2 linked regions of the Drosophila melanogaster genome follow. The gene in region 1 interacts genetically with each later gene. Each region holds a gene or a part of one and is shown on either strand. Other genes may lie near its edges.

Region 1 (10,174 bases):
TCCGGCCGGATTGTTGGTATTACCCACGGAATTGTTTGTTTTGCCGCCATTATTCAAAGAATTTGGCGGCATTGGCTTCTTTAAGTAGTCGGAGAGTGTGCGACTTTTTATCAAATTGTACATGATTATTGTATTGTAATTTTTTTTTTTTCAAATTTTTTAACACTTTGTCAAATCTTGTTTTGTTAGACAGTTGAGATGCGTTTCGTTTGGTTGCCAGTTGAGAAGTGATTCGATTTGATCGGAAACCCTGTCAGGACAGTCAAACTGACTGACAGCTAAAGCATGGGTATCCAGATATGTATATATGAGTTATTTCTTTTACCCAACAAACAATTTACTTAAAGCTAAACTAAACTAATATATCGTACATACATTTCCTATTCAAATTTAAGTTAAAGTTGGACTGAGAGTCCAGCTCACCTGAAATGCAAAGTGCAGCTGAACGATCCATTCGGAGTTGGCGTGCGCCATAATGTGTCGCTCCTCCCAGAAGAACGCGGAGTCCGGTCGCTTCATCATCTCGAATTTGGACAGCCGCTTCATGGCGTACACCTGGCTGGAGGACTTGTGCCGCACCAGCTGCACCTCTCCAAAGGCGCCGGCGCCGATGAGTTTGATAAAATGGAAATCCTCGACGTTCATGCGCAGCTGATTGATCTGCATTGCCAATGGTTTGTCTGCAAAACGAAGAAGTGAAAGTATAATAACCGATTATCATTGGGATAATAGACATAACCACTCACATTTGGCCGCATACTGCTCGATGTTCTTAAGCCGCCTCAGGGACTCGTGGTCACAATCGCTGACCAAGGCCGACACCGTGTCCAGCAGGCAGTCCACATTGCAGATGCTGGTCGGATCGCGCATCTCGCGCTCGAGCGTATTCGCCCTGGGAAAACGGAAATATGAAAAGAGAGATATAGTTAATATATGGTAAAGAGATATTGTAAATTAGAAGTGTTCCAATATACGAAATTAATCATCTGCTGTGTCTGAGTGTTTGATTGTTCAACTGGTTCCTCACCGCTTGGTCGTCATGCAAATCGCTCGCATAAACAAACAAACAAATAACGAACAAATCAAATAAAATGAAACTGGGAAAACGAGGAGGAACTATGAGGGAAAGTGCGCAGATTACTCATGGACGGGACGTGTAAACACCACTTTCCGGGTACACCCACCCCATCACCCAGGCAAACAGCTGCGGTCCAAGTAATGGCATTAATAGGTTCGCACATCGTTTCTAAATTTAAGATTTCCTATTATTAACGATTCAACGAATTCGAGTGGCCGTGAATTGGATATAAACATTATTATTGAAGGGAGGAGTTGCAGCCCATGATGGCGGGGCGGCAATTTACAGATCGAAATAAGTAATTCTAGATCAATTCGACAGTAGAGTACTTAAGTGCTAACACATTGACCGCAACTGTCTGCACAGCGACAGTGTAAACAAAAACAGCGACAGGCTTTCAGATCTTGGAATTGAAGTGGCGGTGAGTCAGTGGAGGAGCGGACAGACACCGAATGCCCCGGAGATTTGTCCCAATCGGGCGCTTTTTAGCGGCAGACAAATGGGCGGCACATGATACGGATACAGATGAAGGCGTTATCGCACTGGAAACACTAGCCACCATTGATAACCTGGCATAGGCATAGTCCAGCTAATGTTAGGGGAGTCCAAAGTGCCAAAGTAGTGGAGGAGGGGGCGAGGAGGGGCCTTGACTTTATCACCCCACGCTGTTGGCGACTCTGATAAAATGAAATGGAATGGAATGGAATGGAATGGAATATGCAATGCAATGAATGCAAGCCATGTGCAGGCCACTGACAGCAAACTTGCCGTTGATACGGCGCACTTGAGCAGTTGGAGCTGATACAATGATGAGCACACTGGAGGTTCTAACCGCCGTGCGAATGGAACCAACTGCCCACCTTGTTGGTGGACACACATCGGTACACAGATATCACAAGGAAAAATCAAGTTGTTATCTTTACAACTGATATAGAATTAATAATATTCGTGGAATATTAAATGGCTTGATTTTGATTCAGGCACAATGACTTTCATTTATACAAACATATTTATCAGGGGAGCCGGTTAATTTATGCATTTTCATGAATCAAATATTTACGTAACTATAGTATAGTAAAAAGCATAGTACGCTATATTATTTTATCAGTAAGTGCGGATTTTAAAATCTCAAAAAACAAAAACACTGCTCTGATTCACCAAGCGTTTCATTCTTTATAAATGATATTAAGAATATACAAATTGCTTATTTACTTTTGAATGTAAACAAAAAGGTAAGGTTCATTCTTCGGAGAGTGTATGTATGTACATAAATCATGGAAAATAAAATCTTGCGAATGTAAATATATAGAAAATTAATTATAACAATTAGGTATTTGCATACGAGGTTACTAGAGCATGGGAAAAGCGCTCTTTCAAATGGAATTTCTCGGCAAATTAAACTACATATTCGGCAAAGAATGAAACAATTAAATTTGGCCTGCCAGTGCGTTGGTTCTGAATTTCTAAATTTAAAGGCATTTTCCGGTCAAAAACTAATTCCCGTAACCAAGATTTATGTGCAATTAGCAAGATGCAAGATGTCGGAGATGCGGAGTCAGTCTGTCAGCGATTGGGAATCGAATTTCGGTGCCCAGCAAGCAAAAGTCAGACTCAGATGCAGGAGCAGGCAAACTGCGATGACAGTCGGCGCTAAAAATTGATACTAAAAGGTGTTTGAATTGTTGTGATTTCATCATCGCCACTTACGGCATGACAGAAAAGCCAAAAACAAAACGCTCAAGCAGCGGGTAATAGCAGCACACACACACACCATACACAAAAGCAAACAACTTGGGAAAGTGGAATTTTCAAAAATGCTGCGATGAATTTTCGTTGCCGCTGTTGATTTCGATTTGGCCAAAGCGGCAAAATGGCAACAACAACATAATTATGAGCAACATTATTGACAACAACAACGGCAATAATAATACATAATAACCAACGACGACGATGACGACGACGACGACAACATTATCGTCACCTATAGACAATATAATTTTCAACTTAATTTATACAACGTCGCCAAATTCGATCTGCCAGTTTTTACAAATTGAACGCTTCACATTCAACACACAGAGATAGAGAGTGGTACTGCATCTGCGTTGCAGAATCTCTTCACACCTTATTAATTCTAATTAATTATTTGCCCAGGCAGCACAAAGGAACTGTTCGGCTTTTATAACCAAATGCGCATTGCAATTGGCCATTGTTAGTACGCAAATGCCTTAACGTTTGCTTCGCTTATGACTGCTTACAGCAGATACCGAGTGGGGATGGGTAATTAAATTTAAGTATTTATATGCATACTCGACGCTGCGGAATTGCTGGGCAAATTGTATTCTCGGAATTTGGAATGCAAGCGAACCAGGACGACAACTGGTAGCTGAGAGCTGGATGCTGAATGCTGAATGCTAGGAGCGTGGAGATGAGAACAACGTACCGTTCCGGCTCGCACGAATGGAGGGCGGCGGGCATTAGCCATGTCCCCATGCCCTATACCGTCTACTGTCCAATGGAAGAAACCGGCGTGGTGCTGGCTATCTATTCTACCTTTTTGGCCCAAAACGATGCAAACGATGCAGCCGATGCAACGCGACGCCTGCAACTGACAAACGGCGGCATCAGCCACTGTGCGTTCGTTTTAGTTCGCTTTTCGTTTTCGTTTTGGTTTTTTTTCTTTTTGGTTTGGTTACAAATTTTAATGCGAAAATGGCAAATTTATTATAAAGTCGCCCCCCGTTTTGTTCACTCGCTTGTCAATTTGATTGCCGCGCTGTCGCTTTGAACATGAGATATGGAAGGTGTTTGCCAGCGGTGTATTACTTTTTGATTTGTTTTGGCCAGGCCCGTTTGGCTTGCGCTGAATTGTGCTAGCTGGCTAGTTGGCTGGTTAGGTGGTTAGCTGGTTAGCTGCTTAGCTGCCTGCTTGGCTTGGTCAGTTGAACAAATCACAAATCTGTCTGTACAAATCGCACGTATCTGTGCGATGGCTACTGCCACTTCTACTTCTACTTCGACTTCTACTATTGCTATTGCTGCTGCTGCTGCTGCTGATGCTGCCATTCAGGTGACAATTAATTGAGTGGAGCAGTCGCTTTTGGGCCGCCATCTCGTGCACTCACCGGCGCCTTCGTTCCACATCCATGCTGCGCTGCTTGGTCACAGTTTCTCGTCCAGCTGGCATGCAAATGCAAGATAACAAGCTGATACTGCTGCTCCAGCTGCTGCTTCCTGTTGGTCAACTGCTGCTCCTGTGCTGCAACTGAAAGCGAAGCAAGGGTTTAACAGAGTTCTCTTCGGGGTACACATATTTATATTGTACATTTACCTGCCAGGAGTTGTTGGACGTCTGTCTATGCTGGGAATGCTAATAGTAATGAGGAGAGGAGGCACGCGTCAAGCGCTAGTTGTTTGCTGTTTGCTGGCGATGAGGTCACGAGTGTTTCGTTGGATTTCTGGCTAACTGCTGCCACTGAACGCCAATCGAATACGGATGGGGATGGGAATGGGAATGGGTATGGGTATGGGGATTGGGCACTTGGCGCTGGCTTCTTTTGGTGGAGTGCCGCCAACGCCACATGCGGACGCAGCCGAGCACCCGGGCGTTCCCAGGTGCGTTTCCCACACGGCAGGCAGGTGTGCTATCGATTCCCGGAAAATGCTATCAATCTAGTTTACTTCCTGTGCAAATGGGATCGTAATGACCAGGATGATCACGTTGACCACGATGGATTGTTGGGTAAACAAGGGAACGGGGATTATTGTCCGCAGTCCGCTTGGCATGCAACAGTTGTGTCAACACTTGTGGCCAAAAACCTGGCCAAAATGTGTCGAATGCGGCGGATTGGTGGTGTTGAAGGTGGGCTTTTGTTTCTCGGCCTTTTGAGTTGTTGGTTTTTGTGTGCCCCAATCAAGTAGCTTTTTCCTTCTTCTATTTTTTTGTTAATTCCAACGATACCTCTGTGCACACACACTTACACGAGCGCACGCACACCAGTGCACTGCGAACGGCGAACGTAGCAAGCGCTACAACAACAATAACAAGGCGCTTCACAGACACACACACACGCGCGCACACACCGATGTGCGTCACACCGACGTACTGTCCGTCGGCAGCGGGGGAAACGCACGGGGGGGCGGGACGGGACGGGGGCGGCTGACCGCCCAAATTGCGAATGTCCAGTTTCGGCCGCGGCCAAATAGATCAATTTGGTTTCAATTAGACGCTGCGCGTTGCACTTATTTTATTTCGGCTCGGTGCTGGTAGAGATGGCAATTGTGTTTACATATCGAAGTTGAAGTATCGAAGTCACTAGGCGCCGATGAAAATACCAGAATATACCAGGGCCAACAGGTGGCGCTCCAAATGGCGATGGTGCTGCGGCAATATCGGTTGTCTGCGTCATCGATGGGCCGCTTGTTATTCGATAGACTCAGAAACTAGCTTCATGAATAGTTATGTAAATCGGTTGCTAACAAAATAAAAAGCAGTTATTTATGAATAAAGTGATACAGCAAAATATGAATTGTACTACGCATTCTTTGCCCACATTGAAAATATACTAATACGAAAATGCATGTTTAGACAAGGTCTTCAAATGCCAAGTAATATATAATATAATCTTGGTGTGCTCATTAATTTAAATATTTTTAAAAATAACTATAAATTGAACACATACGTGTTAGAGTATCATTAACCGAATCTTCGATAGTTCGCCGCGCCGGCATTCGATTAATCGATACTATTGCTGGTGGCAGGCCCAGCACTATTAACCGCAGCCAACTTCACGCGCCTTGTTCTTTTTTCCGGTTGACTTTAACGAGAAAGGTTGTGCACGAATTCTTTTCAAGTGAATTATCTTTTTTTTTATGTTTTGAATGGGTGAAATTCAATGAAAGAGCCCACGCCAAGTGGCAAATGACACAATGGGCCGGCCGTAAACACGAAAGGACAGCTTTTTTCGGGTTAAAACTTCGGCTGGCAATTTTTTGTTGTGCCCGTGCATGTGTGTGTGCGAGGGAGAGAGAGAGAGAGAAAGAGTGTGTCTGTGAGAGAATCGTGGAAATCGCGACAACGTGTTTTTGGCAGCATTGTAATAGATTCCCCATTTGTTTTTCCCGTTCTGCCCGCAGATGCCAGGCGTCACAGTGAAGGATATTGACCAGCACGCGGTTACCAAGGCGGTCGCCGTCTTCTTGAAGAAGTGAGTACTGAACATCAAGTATATTTCCACCACATAACCTCACAATCCATTTGTTTATCCCCCCCCAAAAAAAAAAAAAAAAACACGAAAAAAACCAAATAGGACTGGCAAGTTGAAGGTGCCCGACCAGATGGACATCGTCAAGACCGCCAAATTCAAGGAGCTGGCGCCCTACGATCCCGACTGGTTCTATGTGCGTTGCGCCTCGATCCTGCGCCATCTGTACCACCGCAGTCCCGCTGGAGTCGGTTCGATCACCAAGATCTACGGCGGACGCAAGCGCAACGGTGTCCACCCCTCGCACTTCTGCCGCGCCGCCGACGGTGCTGCCCGCAAGGCTCTGCAGGCCTTGGAGCACGCCCGTTTGGTCGAGAAGCACCCGGACGGTGGTCGCAAACTGAGCTCCATTGGACAGCGTGATCTGGACCGTATTGCTAACCAGATCGTGTTCAAGCAGCGCGATGCCGCCAAGCAGACCGGGCCCATTGTTATTTCCAAGTAATCACACGGCGCCCCTTCGAATTCTAAAAAACGCATTTTTAGACTTCTATTGTAAGCGCTTTTTGTTTGCACGAGAGAGATGAGAAAATAAAACCAACCACAATTTGTAAAAGTCTACGAAACATGCGTTCTTCGAATGCTAGAAACATTTTTTATGCGGTCTGTAAACAGGGGAATAGAATAGCTCCTCTTGGCAATGTAAAAAAGTGGTAGATTTATCAGGATGCTGCTCATATTAGTAATATGCATGTGCGAAGAACAATGTGGACAACAGCTACATTTGGCGTAATTAACTAGCCAATTTATACTTTTACCGAGCCTTCACATTGTTAATGGCTTTCCTTCTATTGCTAAACTATCAGTATCAGTTTGGTATTCTGCCCTTAGAAGGTGCATAGTTTCATTAACAATCCATGTGCTAAGTGGTTGCTTGCCTTGCAGAAATAAACATTTTATATCTATACACACTGCTCATGTGCGACAGCATAGTTCATTGAAATTTAGTCATGCGGACTTGGTAAGGTTAATCTTTAGATTTAAATCATTCCCTTTTTGGTGAAATGGTGGAGCTGCCTTGCTTCAATATATATTGTGTCTTGTTTTCTATTCCATTTCGACAAATAAAATCTGCGGATAAAGAACTTTCTGATATACTTGAAGTAAACTTCTTGCATTGATTGAAGACTAAAAAGACGTAGCCTTTTATTTTGTCGATCGAACATTGTTATACAAATTCAAAAGGAGATGGCCAAAATCTTTCAACAAGTAAGGCACTAATAGCCGAAAATAAGTTAAATTAACAAAGAAATCAAGAAGCCAAGCATTTGTATAAAATCAAAGGCACAAAAATTGATTTGGAAACCAATTATGTGTAAAGCTATCTGTGTTTGCATTTCTTGGAAAATACATTTGCTAGTCTTGGCGACGTCATTTAAAGTGGCAATCTTCCGACTCAAGTTCCCAATGCAGTAAATCCACAAAGTACGCAATATTATTAAATATTTTCGACTTATTTTCCAAACTGCTCATATAAATTGTCAGTTCAAAAAGGGGTATCTTTGTTATAGAATTTATTCAAGAGTTTGTGTGTTTCTTCTGACTATGAATGTTACGGAGCCTTAAGACTAAGCACTACGGCTAACGATGCTCGACGAGATCGGGTTCCGAGGCGGGTGCTAGACCCTGTCCAGGGCCTCCACCATGACGATGCTGTTGCCGCGGATAACCTGGCCAGGTGGGAAAAACGAGTGAGTCGATAGTTTATGGCAGGGTATGCTGCGCATCTTACCACCATGCCGATGTTGTTCTTCGTGTTGTCCTTGCACTCCTCCACCGTGTCGTCCAGGACCACGTTCATGAAGGGATCGAAGCCTCGCAAAATACCGGTCACCGCGCGTCCGCCGTTCAGTTTCAGCATCATGCGCTTGTCCATGTATCTGCAAGTTGTATTGTTAATTGCATTTATGGAGCGCTATCTTTTTCCCACATGGGTTGCACTTACTTTTTCACCTCTGGGGGATGGGCCTTCGACATTTTGATGGTTTAATTTGCGCAAAATGGGAAAATTAAGTAAAAACGCGGACCGCAAGCTAGAGATGTCACTATTGATTGGAGCTATACTATCGTCTTGGTCACTCTACCAACTGGTCACACTTTCGGGCGGGAAAAATATTTTTCCGCCAAATTCGCTGGCTTTTAAGTGCTCACATAAATGAAATTTTCAAATAGCAAATAACATAGGAATAATCCTTCTAAATCGCAATATAAAAACATATATACAAGGAGTGGTAAATGACAGTATTCTATTAATGGCAAAACGATTTATTTAAACAGACGTCGCATCCGCATAAACGATCTTTCACACTTTTTATTAACGGTTAGTATAAATAAAAAAAAACATTAATCCTTAGTTTATTTAACCAATTTTGTTTGCTGAAATCGATTCTTGAAAGAGAAGCTGACATTTTTTTTATATATGCCTCCCTACTTCAGGCAGTGCGAACATACCGCATCAACGCGACTTGTAGCGGCCGTGTGAAAAGGCTATTTTGTGGTTAGCGCAGATCTGCGCTGCAGTGTGACCCCGGCTACAGGTATTTCGGCATCGCACAGGGTCACACTCGCCCAGGCACCCGTATAAAATCCCCGCCCCCCTGATCGACGATAGTATTTCGAAAAAAACGCGAGGAAAAGTCTGATGCGCGTTAAAATCGGAGCGCAAATCGTGCATATATTTTTTTTTACACACCGCGCGCCGTGTTTACGACTGAAAACGGAGACTGACTGAAAAGCCTTGGCGCACAAGCACGCAATGAAAACGCAACGATAAGAATGTGATATTGTGATAAATACATGATTCGCTGACAACTCTATTTTATATTGGAATGCATTCGAAATCGAACGCAGCGCAGCGTGTGTTGTTTACTTAACGATTTTCGGTGTTTGTTTGCCCAACTTGCGGCGGTGAAATTCAGCATTTTCTGATTTTCCATTTGCCAACGAAAGAGAGGAAAAGTGAAAAGTGCTATTCGACGAAGCGAAACGGAACGCAAAATCAAAAGAAAAACAGCATAGCTAAAGCTATGTGTAGTACATAGCCACATAAATTGCAAATTGAGGCCAAGAGACAAGAGAACCTGAAATCCACACAGATCTTGACGAGTGAGCTAACGATGGACAGGAGTCGGAGTAGCAGAGCTGCCAGCAGCAACCAGTTCATCAGGCCATGTGGCCTACTGACGACCGTCATCCTGCTGCAGACGCTTGTGTCGATGAGTTTGGCCATCGAGGAGATGTCGCCACCACCGGCCGCCCCGCCACGTCCATCGCCGCCGCCCACCGTGAAGCTCAACAAGTGCTGCCATTCGGGCGAGTATCTGAACGATGGCACCTGCATCGCCGGCAGCGAAGCCCTGTGGCTGCCCATGGTGTACTTGGTGCAGCAGCAGCGCTTCTTCGAGCCCCATGGCGCCAGTCCGCGATTCTTGAAGTTCCTGCCCAATACGAGACCCACGTGCCGAAAGGACCAGACGACGGAGATCTTTCGCAGCCGCGGAGCCAATGTGATGCTCTTTCCCAATGGCACGCTCTATGTGCGGGAACGCGCTCTAATGGTCCAGCCGTCGGATTACTGTGTCGACTGGGAGGTGGCCGTCGTTTGCTTGAACGACAGTCAGCCGATCAATGCTCTGGAGGATCCCGATTATGCAGCCAATCCTCTCGTGCAGCAGGAGCCGCCCAAGGCTAGCCTGCGACTGAGCAAGTGCTGCGGCAAGTGGGGCAGCTATAACACGCAGCTCCAGAACTGCGATCTGCAGCCCAACCATCAGGCAGCCGTCGATGGACTGCTGCGATTGTCGCCGCAGCTACCGGAGGGCAGCTATCAGACTAG
Region 2 (10,174 bases), on another chromosome or scaffold:
GAAACCTAATACCTAATCGATGAAAAACCAAAACATTTTGATTCATAATGTTATGTACATTTTAAATGTAAAAAAAAAAATTAAATACAAAAGCACAAAATAAACAAAAACAATACCCTCAATAAAGATTTTTTTAACCCCGTTAAAGATAAGTGTTTTGACTTTAAAGGGCGGGTATTCCCCGGATTTAAATCCATTATCTTAGCCTAATAAAATTCGATGCCCGGCCAAATAAGAAAACAGTTAGTTAAACCAAGAGTAGATCAAATGTACTGTTTATTCATAAGTATAATATAGTTTGGTTGTATCTGATGCATCTTCGAGTTTTTCAACTTCTGTGTGAGAATTACACGATTGACGGTACAAAATACAAAAAAAGAGACATACACATATGTACTGTATAGTATAATTATATGTATAATCGTATTTTATAAAATCATAAAATACTCTTCATATAGTTGTTTGGTTGTTTTGTAGTATCTTTTTTTTTTTATGTTTTCCACTCGTTTTAATGCAAAGTACAAATATTAAAAACTCGCTTAATGCGCTCGAAATAGTTTTTCACTTCATCAAAAATTTTCCCTCTTAGCATCTCCCACGCGAAAACTGAATGCATCTCATTTGTGGCTTACGTTTAGTTAAATAAACATTTATCGTTTTTGTTTTGTTTTGTTTTGTGTTTAGTTCGGCTCTTGTAATGTAGTTTCGCTTCCAACTCCTATTGGCGGCCTGGTCTCTCTGTATTTGATAGATTTAATGGGAACATAACTCTCATCTTGACGCCTACGACCTCCTTGGACCCCGGGATCCAACATCCGATTCCGTTTCCGATTCTGTTCCTAATTCCACTGATTCACCTGACTCACTCACCCTCGCATACGACACAATCTCGTCCAGCCACAGCCGACTCTACACTTGACAACACAGTTAACGAAATAATAACATACATCTAGGAGGAGGGGGTGGACAGAAACGGACACAACTTGAATATGTTTACATATATCGATATATATTTTTTGCTTGCAGTGGCTGACTGATTGATCTGCTCTGCCCTAGTTTTTACAAATAATAATGCCAGAGTTATTACTGTTGTTTACTTCGGTTTATAACTACACTAGACTGTATATAAAATCAAATCCGCATTTGACATTCTACTTGGTGCTGCCTTCCCTTATATCTCGCTGCATCCCTCCTCCGCTGATCTTCTAGCTCAAGCTCTCTGTTTTCTGCTCATGTTTGTTGCTGGTTGGGTGGTGGTGCAGCTTCGTGTATCCGATGTTCTGGTTGTTCTTGATGTTGTTGTTGAGTGGTTGTTGTTCAGCTCGTTATTGTTGTAAAAGGTGTGTATGTGTGTTTGTGTGTGTTTATGCTGTTGTTTTTGCTGTGTGTGTGTGTGGTAAAGATTTTCATGTTGTTGATTTGCTCTTTTAGAGCAAAAGGCATCTGGTCTTCTTCCTCTTTTTGACTTGCAGCGCGGCCCTAGTTGCCGTCTCGAAAACATCTCGCACACCCTCCTTGGACTTAGCCGAACACTCCAAATAGGCAAAGGCATTAATCTTCTCGGCCATGGCGCGACCCTCCTGCGGCTTCACCGGCTCCTGCTTCATTTTTGCTAGATCCTGTAAAATCAAGTTTAGTTTAGTGCTGCAAGTTCACCTCGTTCAACAGCGCGTATACGTACCCGAATTGTGTTGGGATCATTTCGCAAATCTTTCTTATTTCCTACCAAAATGATTGGAACATTTGGACAAAAGTGTTTGACCTGCAATAATGTAGTAAGGATTAGTATCATATTTTGATATCAGATTCCATATAGTCGAACTGCAAAAACAAGTAATTCGTAATTGGGAACCACTTACTTTCTTCTTATCTATATCTATCATTATAAATTAAAGGCTGAGAAGTAAGGAAATGATTCAGAAAGTCAAAGCAAATTGGCTCATAGCAGACTATTTTTAGTGATTAAACTAGAAATAACCAACAATTCTATTAAACTTTCCTCGTTCTAAACCAAAACCAGTCTTTCAGATAGCTTCAATGACATAAACAAGAACACAGAGATGCATAGTCTTAAAGATTCCATATCATAAGCAAATGCATTCGATAACTTCAAAAATGTTTAATATATTTTAACTGGAGTTAAAAGTTCAACTTTTTCCAAATTTGCATCATTACATAAAAATTAAAAACATATTTTGTCTAGACTTGTTAGTTCCGTATAGTATATATATATATAGTACCATACTTGTTTACGATCGTCTGATAGAAACTGTTCTGTAATTCCAGTTAAACTCACCTCTGGGGTCCATTTTTCAGGAATATTTTCTAGCGAATCGGGTGAATCCACTGAGAAACACATCAGTATGACGTCAGTGTCGGGATAGCTCAGCGGTCGTAGTCTGTCGTAGTCCTCCTGCCCGGCCGTATCCCACAAGGCCAGCTCCACCTGGAGAATCGGATGCGGATTATGATTGAGAGTTACGCTTGCAGTTGCGGTGTCGTCAGGGTTATAGATAGATGGGGCTTTTTGTGGCACGGGACGGTGCGATGCGGGCTCGGAGGAGAATGGGACAAGTTCGAGTTGAAGATAGCATGAGTGCGAGTACGAGAGTGTGAGCAAGGAACTTGACGGAAATGCCAAACGAATTAATCACATCGAAGCGAGGCGAAGTGGAATGACGTGAACTTGTGTGTATGTAAACGCTATCCAAACAGAAACACAAACAGAAACTGAAAATTGAAAACCCGCCATATTGCGCAGCAAAGGCAAACACACAGTGTTTATTTCGAAAAAAAGCGCCTGAAAATACTGTAGATCCCAAATGGAATATATGAACGAACATATAGCCAAATCATGACTTGATGCCCCAATGGAAAACGCACATTACATTCCATAGAGTAAGGGAGTGCGCGGTGGAGCGGGAGAGCGCTCCCCCCCCTTAGAAGAGAGTACAGGTAGGCAGGGAGAAAGAGTAAGAGTGAGAGCGCCCGAGAGAGCAGCAGAAAGAGCGGGGGGCGGCGCAACGCATTAAACTGTATGTGCGCAACGGACTTGTATAAGACAAATACAAAATAAAAAGAAAAGAAAACGAGCGGAAGGAAGGGAGCAGCACTACTTCTGTGTGTGTGTGTGTGCTGCCAACTCTCTGTTGAGCATGTGTGCGTGTAAGTGTGGGGAAATGTGCCCAAGTGTGACTTAATCACTGCTATCAAAACTTTGAATTCTTCGGAAAAATCCAAATTTGCACTCCACTTAACCAAAAATGATCTTAATTTTTCTTTTGCTTTTCCAGACACCTTTATTTATGGATGCGTCTGTGGGCATGAGGCGATATTGACTCATTTCATTTTACAGGCGAAGAAAAGGAAATACAACGACCAAGGTGTGGGTGAAGTTGTGGGTGGCACAAACAAGAGAACAATAAACACACACCCATGGGAACACACACCCGCACACACACACACACACACACACACACACACAGAGGCGGGTGGAAAGTGTAAGGAGGATACGCGCACTTGAAAAACGGAATGAATTGAGAATGCACACAAATTATAAAACGAGATCAGACGATTATCACTTGGATGGCAGGGTGGGGTTATCAGGGGAGGGGGGTCAGCCACCGGTTGGGGGTGGCATTCAGAGTGGTGGACGGGACGGGTAGTTAGGGGAGGGGCGGGCCTGTCCGGGAAAAGGGGCTTACCTGTTTGCCATCCACCTCGATGTCGGCCACATAATTCTCGAATACGGTGGGCACATAGACCTCGGGGAACTGATCTTTGCTGAAGACAATCAGAAGGCAAGTTTTACCGCAGGCACCGTCGCCGACAATTACCAATTTCTTGCGAATCGTCGTCATTGGAAGTTCTGCAAAAGGCAAAATCAAACTGTAGCTAGATGCAATGCAAGTGCAGCGGATGCCCGAGGATTCCGAGTCCGATTCTGAATCCGAATACAATTTTCGATTCCGAATCCGAGTCAGCCGTTCTGTTTTATATATTCGCGAAAACTGAACGAGCGCCTGTTCAAAAAATTATCAAAATGAAAAAGCCACACACACACTCGCATACAGTCACACGCACACTGGTGGACACACAGCACAAATACACTCGCGCGCTCGCTCTCTTTTCCGATAGCCCTCTCCCGCTCGCGCACACACTTAGTCATACTTGCGGCTGGACGGCGATCTAATAGTATAAAGTGTGGGGTTCTTTCTTATCTGGCCATTGTCCATTGTCCGTTAGCCGAGTTTTTCCCGTTTTTCTTTACGGTTTTTCGCATTCGCATTTTCATTTTGGTCGCGTCATAGGGCCGCCCGCTTCTCCACCCCTCTCTCCAACACTCCAGGAAACTCCTCTCTCCGCGCCCGTCCCGCTCACACTTTATTCCAAAAACATCTCATCATCCACTCTCGGTATGGCTGTGTGTGTGTGTGTGTGCGTGTGTCTGTTCGCCTCTGGCTGGGCGTGCGTGCATTTGTGTGCGTGCTGTGTGGAATTTTTTCACTTCTGCTCTTTCGGCCACTTACAATTTATATTGGTGATTTCACAACACTCAGCACGAATTCGACACTTAATTTGCTTACAAAATGGCACAAATTTGTTGATTCTTATGCGTCTACCGTTTAGCTATATCGTATAAAAGTTAATGCAATTACAAAAATTCGAATTGAACTCGACGATTTTTTCCCATGCAAAATGACGATGAACAATGTTCATCCGTTTCATTTCTCGGTAGCGGGATGAACGCTCGATGACCAACCAACGCCTTCGAGCGCAGGGCTGTTATTAACCCAATCGATAGTTCTCATCGATGGCAACTCTGTGCGCGTTATTCCCATGACCGACCACGACTGGTAACACCGCACATATGTTATTCTTGCTCTTCTTCTTAAATTTGCGGTCGCATGGCCCGGGAAGTATTGGTAGTTCAGCAAAAAACTGAAAAGGAATGCTTGACGAACATATTCTGAAAGAAATGAAACTGAGCTTCCAGCTCACCGAACAGCGAGAACTAGCCTCTGGTCGCCGTAAGCCGGAAAAACCACAACACCCACCTGCTGTTCCAAAGAAAAAAGTTATTTCAAAGGTGGCCAGCAATCCTGCAAAGATTTCGGAAACAATGATTCAAAAAGCCCAGATGGAGTCGCCCAAAAAATCCAAGAAAAATAAGACAGCCGGCGCAAAGAGACCTCTTTCCAATAATGTGTCGAATCCAGACAGTTCACCATCCCAGAAGAGGCTTAAAAAGGATAATACCCTACCCAAAAAGAATCCTGTAAATAAATCCTCAAATGTTGCAGCTAAAAAATCTGCAGCAACAAGCAAAAGTGCTAAGCTTCCTATTCCCAAGGTTCATAGTATAAATGGTATGCATTAGATCCAGAATTACAACCTCATTTTATTTTAATATATATGTATTTTTCAGAATTAGCTCCTAAGAAAACCAAAGTCAAGACGCCAAATAAAACAAAAGAAGCAAGTTTATCTAAGAAACATAAGGTAAATGGAAACAAGAGCTCAATGAAGGTCGTACAAAATGGTAAAGTAGTAGAGATAATTGGTACTGCAGCGGAAACAAGTGACATTGAAATGAATTCATTGGATGATTGGAGTGAAGAAGACGATTATTTAATTGAAAGTGGTAAGGAATTTTTAATATTACTCTTGTTTCTTAACTTAAACTATGTTTTTTAGACTCTGAAAACGATGTAGTTGAAGAAATAGACGAGACATTTCTTAAAGATCCAAAGATTTTTAAGGTCAAATGCAAAGGCCCCGAATACAAGTTATCAGATATTCTTCCTCCTTTTGAACACGATGAATACCAACCTCTTTTGTTGGATGGGGATGGCAGTGGAACAGTTCGAAAGATTAAGGTATTTAAAAGTGCACAGGAAGAAACTGACAGCGACGAAGATGACATTGATTATGAGCCAGAAGATAGCGATGACTTTGGATCGGAGGAATTTGACAGCGAAGAGTCTGACAGTGAAGACACAAGCAGCGCAGACTATGATAGTGATGGAGATTTCTACAGTGAATATAGCGATATGGAGGATGTTAGTGACAGCGATAGTGAAGAATTCGGAAGCGATATCTTCGACACCGACGACCTCGATTCAACTTATGAGCCACCTGACATTGAGGGATTCTTCGATCATCCACCTGTGGGTATGCAAAGAGAGCCGCTTATTATAGAGGAAATCTTCGACGATCCGCCTGTGGAAAAAAAGCAAGAACGTATTGAACAGTCAAGTGTTATGGATATTGTTGTAAAAAACTTAAGCAGTGTGCCCCCAAAGAAGGAGTCTGAAGTTGCAATTGAAACCGAAGAGAATGATGAGGTATCACTGCCTGAAGTTGTAACACCAGAAAAGGAAAATTATCTCCAACCAAGCGATGTCCCGTTTTACAGAAATCCGCAAGCGAATCCCACTGAGCTTAGCGTCTTTGAGAACAGTCTGAAGAGCAATCATGTGCTGGCCGTGATTAAGGAGGACCTCGAAGTTTATGGCACACTAGTGTTGACTCTACTCTGTGGTCAAATATCAGTAAATGGTTACAGAGCACGCAGGCAGGAAGCAATCACAATTTATTCTCCTAAAGGCCTTAATTGGGTATCTATTTCGCCAACCAAGACTAAAAAACCTGTAAAAGATGAGGTAAATTGGGAAGAACTCAACAAGAACTTTACACGCGCCCAGCTAGACAGGATTAAGACCAGCTTTCAGCGTCAGACGAATGCAATAGTACTGCTCCACCGAAACACAAGTGCCCAGCAGCTCGTCGATACCTTTGGCAAGCACATGGCGCAAAATGTATTCCCACTTGTCAATTCTTCCAATCGACCATTTGGCCAAAGTGAAACCCTGTTGCACTGTCTGATTCAATCGAGCGATCAAAGTCGCACTCTCCAAGTTCCGCAGGTTTGGAATAAGTTACAAATGCATGCAACGAGCCGAATAATCGTAGCCGGTGGTAAGGGCGTCGGAAAGTCTAGTTTATTGCGTTACCTCATCAACCGAAATCTGGGTCAATTCCCATCCATGCTGCTCATCGACCTGGACATTGGTCAGCCGGAAATATTTGTACCCCAGACTATTTCTTGCACCGTAATTGATGAGCCCCTTCTGGGACCGGGCTTCCTGTACAACAGGCAGCCGGAACATGCCATTGTCGTGGGCCACACCAACATTGTCTTGTGCGCAGAGCAGTATGCCCGAGCAGTTATTCAGCTAGTCCAAAACATTCAGAACGATGCCAAGTATTCAAATATTCCTTGGCTGATAAATACGATGGGCTATAATAAGGGATTTGGTATCGAATTGATGGCTCTGCTGGTGGATCGCATTCGTCCCACGGATCTTGTACAGATTGCCAGTCCCATTCCAATCAATAACTTTGATTCTGTCCTCGACCGGAACAGTCTGTCGCAGATAAAACCAATTATATACTCTGCGGAGGAGTTCAAGATCAATGAAATACCAAAATACACACTCCATAAGCTGATAAGTGCAGTGCCTGCAAGGGAAAAAGGAACTTGGAGTCTCAGCGCCAAGGACATGCGGTACTCCAATCTTCTGGCACGTCTCAGTTCCTGCCTGACTGGAAATGCCAAATCTCTTACAGACTGCCAGCCGTTGGGAGTGTCTTTGGAATCCCTGAAAATCCTGCATCCCACCAGCAAGAATTACTCGCGCGAAGAACTGATTCGAGGCATGGAGGCTAATGTAGTATATCTGTGCCATCACGGAGCAGGTCTGCCCCAATGTTTGGGAATAGGTTTGTACACATTCACGTTCTTTTGTGGCTTATTAATTGAATTCCAAAATTCTTTTAGGTGTGGTTCGCGCCATCGACTACGAGCGCAAGGAGTTATACCTGGTGCCAGCAATGCCGCTACAAAAGATGTCCCTGGTGGATTGTCTTATCCTCGGCGGGGAACAGTCCCTGCCGCAGGGCTTCCTTCGGGATCAGGGCCAAGGTGTGTCCAGCAGTGTGCCCTTCGTGTTCATCCTTGACGATTCGAAATCTTCGAAGAGTATTCAGCAGATCTACCATCGAGCGCCAGCCTTTCTGGGAGTACCAGCGAATCAACGAAACTAAAACTGAGCTTACTGTAGCAATCGCAATCGGATAACATTGTAAATAAAGTTAGGTTTATTAACACAAGGCTAGTGTGACAAATTGTGACGTCCTTTGAGGATCCGGTTCATCAGCACTCGTCGTCCCTCAGGCGTCGACATCCTAGCATTCCAGCCGTGGACATTAATTCTCTTCACCTCCATGGGTTTCGGAAAATGGCAGCGTACTTTCGGTTTCAGCACCGCCCGGTTGAAAGCGTGCTTATCCCGCACGATTAGAGTTTGTGCGGTGCTGACAACCGCCAGGCAGGTCCTGCAATGCCAATGTATGTTATTATACCACTCAAAATAAATGGTATATTCATTATTTACTCGCCTTTGGAGCATTCCTTGCAGCATGTTAAGTAATTTCCAGTTAGTATGACCGCATGAAGTCCGAATAATACCGCCTGAACAGCCGGTAAGCCGCTTTGGCGTTGCCAGACCATTGGGTTCGAAATTTCGAACTTAGCTGCATGCTATTTTACGTTAGCATGTAAAATGCATTACATATAGATGGAATCATACAATTAATCTAAAAAATCGTCATAATATTGGTCAAATGGAAAACCACCATATGGGGACAAATTAGATAAACCGCTTTTAATTGAATGGATCTGAAAGTAACCGAAAACTTTTTAAATATGGAATGAATATGTTTGGTTGTACATATATCGAATTGGTATTGTGCCATCTCTAGCTACCCACGATGGTTGTGGCAGCGCAGCTGTTGCAAATGAATCCACAAGATACATTTCGGTATATTTTCCGCAACGGATTCTTTTCCACCCTCAGTTGCGGTCACACTGCCTAGCCAACAACAACCACAACTCGGTGCCGTTAGGGCTGCGTTTGTTTTCTGCTCCCATTCAGCTGCATAGAAAAGAAAGAAAAGTGAAAAGTGTTCGGAAAACAGGCAGCATGTGAAGCATAATTACTCCACGGAATTACTATCTCAAACGAAATAGTTGTCGCCGAAAAGAAGTGCGTAAAATCGCGAGTGAGCTCGTGAAAATAGAATAAAAAAGCGCTCTGCAATTGAAGAGAAACATTGCTGCAGTCGTGTGTACGTGCGTGTGTTTGTGCGTGCGAGTGTGAGTGTCGCTCTCTGGACGCAATTTCTTTGGCCAAAAGAGTGGGGAAGTGGGGCAGGAGAGTCCCGAATCGAATCCCCGAAACAGGCAATCCGAATCCGAATCCGGTGCATTAAAAATAGCGCAACGAGGTGAGTAAAGATGCAAACTGCAGCATTCAGTTCACGAGCTGATGCCAACAAAAAGAACTCCAATTAGCCATGTCTGCAGCCAGCCAAAAAAATAATGAAGAACGGCAGAAAAAATACAACAAGAAAATCGATTTTCCTGAACTTACAATTTTCTCCGCCTCACTGGGCAAAAGGGGGGGCGAAATGGAGCTTGGGGAGCCGGCTACGGCTCCATAAAGTATACATAAATTGAATTTCGAAACACGGAAGCGAAATGGATGCACTGGACGAAATAATGAATAAATTATTTTGATATCGAAAAGTTATTCTCGTTAGAAAAAGTTTCGCTGAGGGTCTCGAACGCAGTCTGTTTTTATAAAAGCATATTATTTAGCCTTATCAAGCAAGAGGATGAATAAAATTGCATTAAAATGTATTTCGACTAAATTTCGACTTGCTATACTTTATTTCTCTGCGTGTAAAAGGGGGCAGGAGGCTGCACACGGCTGTTGTTCTTGTTTTGTTTGCTGGTGTGGATGATGATGGAAATACTTGCATATGTGTGTGCGTTCTGCACAGAGGGAGATGTAAAAATTGAAAAATCTGACCAGAAGCAGGACCCTCCGACTTTTGGTCCAGTTGTCATGGCCACCGCACTTAACAAATGATTTTAGCGGCCACTTTTTCCCGGATGCGAATGGGGCAGCTGTCACTCCGTTTGCCTCCTCCTCCTTTTCTCCTTTTTCTGATTTCATCTGTCTGCCCCTTTCTATCTTGCTCTCTCCCCGTGTTCTCCAACGTGTGTGTGTGTGTGTGCGTATTTTGATGACGGCACTCAGTTTCC

What was found.
Region 2: of Rok (region 1) and Rho1, changing one suppresses a phenotype caused by changing the other (phenotypic suppression), as found in Drosophila melanogaster (2 studies listed by BioGRID).

Annotation. Positions count from the first base shown.
Region 1 is NC_004354.4:16,632,022-16,642,195, forward strand, and holds the start of Rok (Rho kinase), read right to left. Parts: upstream 5,394-10,174; 5' UTR 4,407-5,393; intron 4,341-4,406; 5' UTR 4,263-4,340; coding exon 4,201-4,262; intron 3,647-4,200; exon of another isoform or gene 3,554-3,646; coding exon of another isoform or gene 3,519-3,553; intron 1,188-3,518; exon of another isoform or gene 1,103-1,187; intron 893-1,102; coding exon 747-892; exon of another isoform or gene 733-746; intron 681-732; coding exon 424-680; intron 215-423; exon of another isoform or gene 124-214; coding exon of another isoform or gene 1-123. Other genes in the region: CG9777 (uncharacterized protein), read right to left, coding at 1-123; RpS19a (ribosomal protein S19a), read left to right, coding at 6,212-6,282, 6,385-6,784; SNRPG (small nuclear ribonucleoprotein G), read right to left, coding at 7,959-8,009, 8,072-8,219, 8,285-8,316; mthl1 (methuselah-like 1), read left to right, coding at 9,456-10,174.
Region 2 is NT_033778.4:16,097,305-16,107,478, reverse strand, and holds Rho1 (Rho1), read right to left. Parts: upstream 4,793-10,174; 5' UTR 4,587-4,792; exon of another isoform or gene 4,530-4,586; intron 4,383-4,529; exon of another isoform or gene 4,171-4,382; intron 4,014-4,170; exon of another isoform or gene 3,869-4,013; 5' UTR 3,861-3,868; coding exon 3,705-3,860; intron 2,447-3,704; coding exon 2,297-2,446; intron 1,763-2,296; coding exon 1,682-1,762; intron 1,620-1,681; coding exon 1,428-1,619; 3' UTR 250-1,427; downstream 1-249. Other genes in the region: CG8414 (uncharacterized protein), read left to right, coding at 4,952-5,369, 5,429-5,644, 5,698-7,785, 7,844-8,109; mRpL34 (mitochondrial ribosomal protein L34), read right to left, coding at 8,178-8,400, 8,464-8,486. UniProt on the Drosophila melanogaster protein: Has a role in regulating actin cytoskeletal organization: required during early development for proper execution of morphogenetic movements of individual cells and groups of cells important for the formation of the embryonic body plan.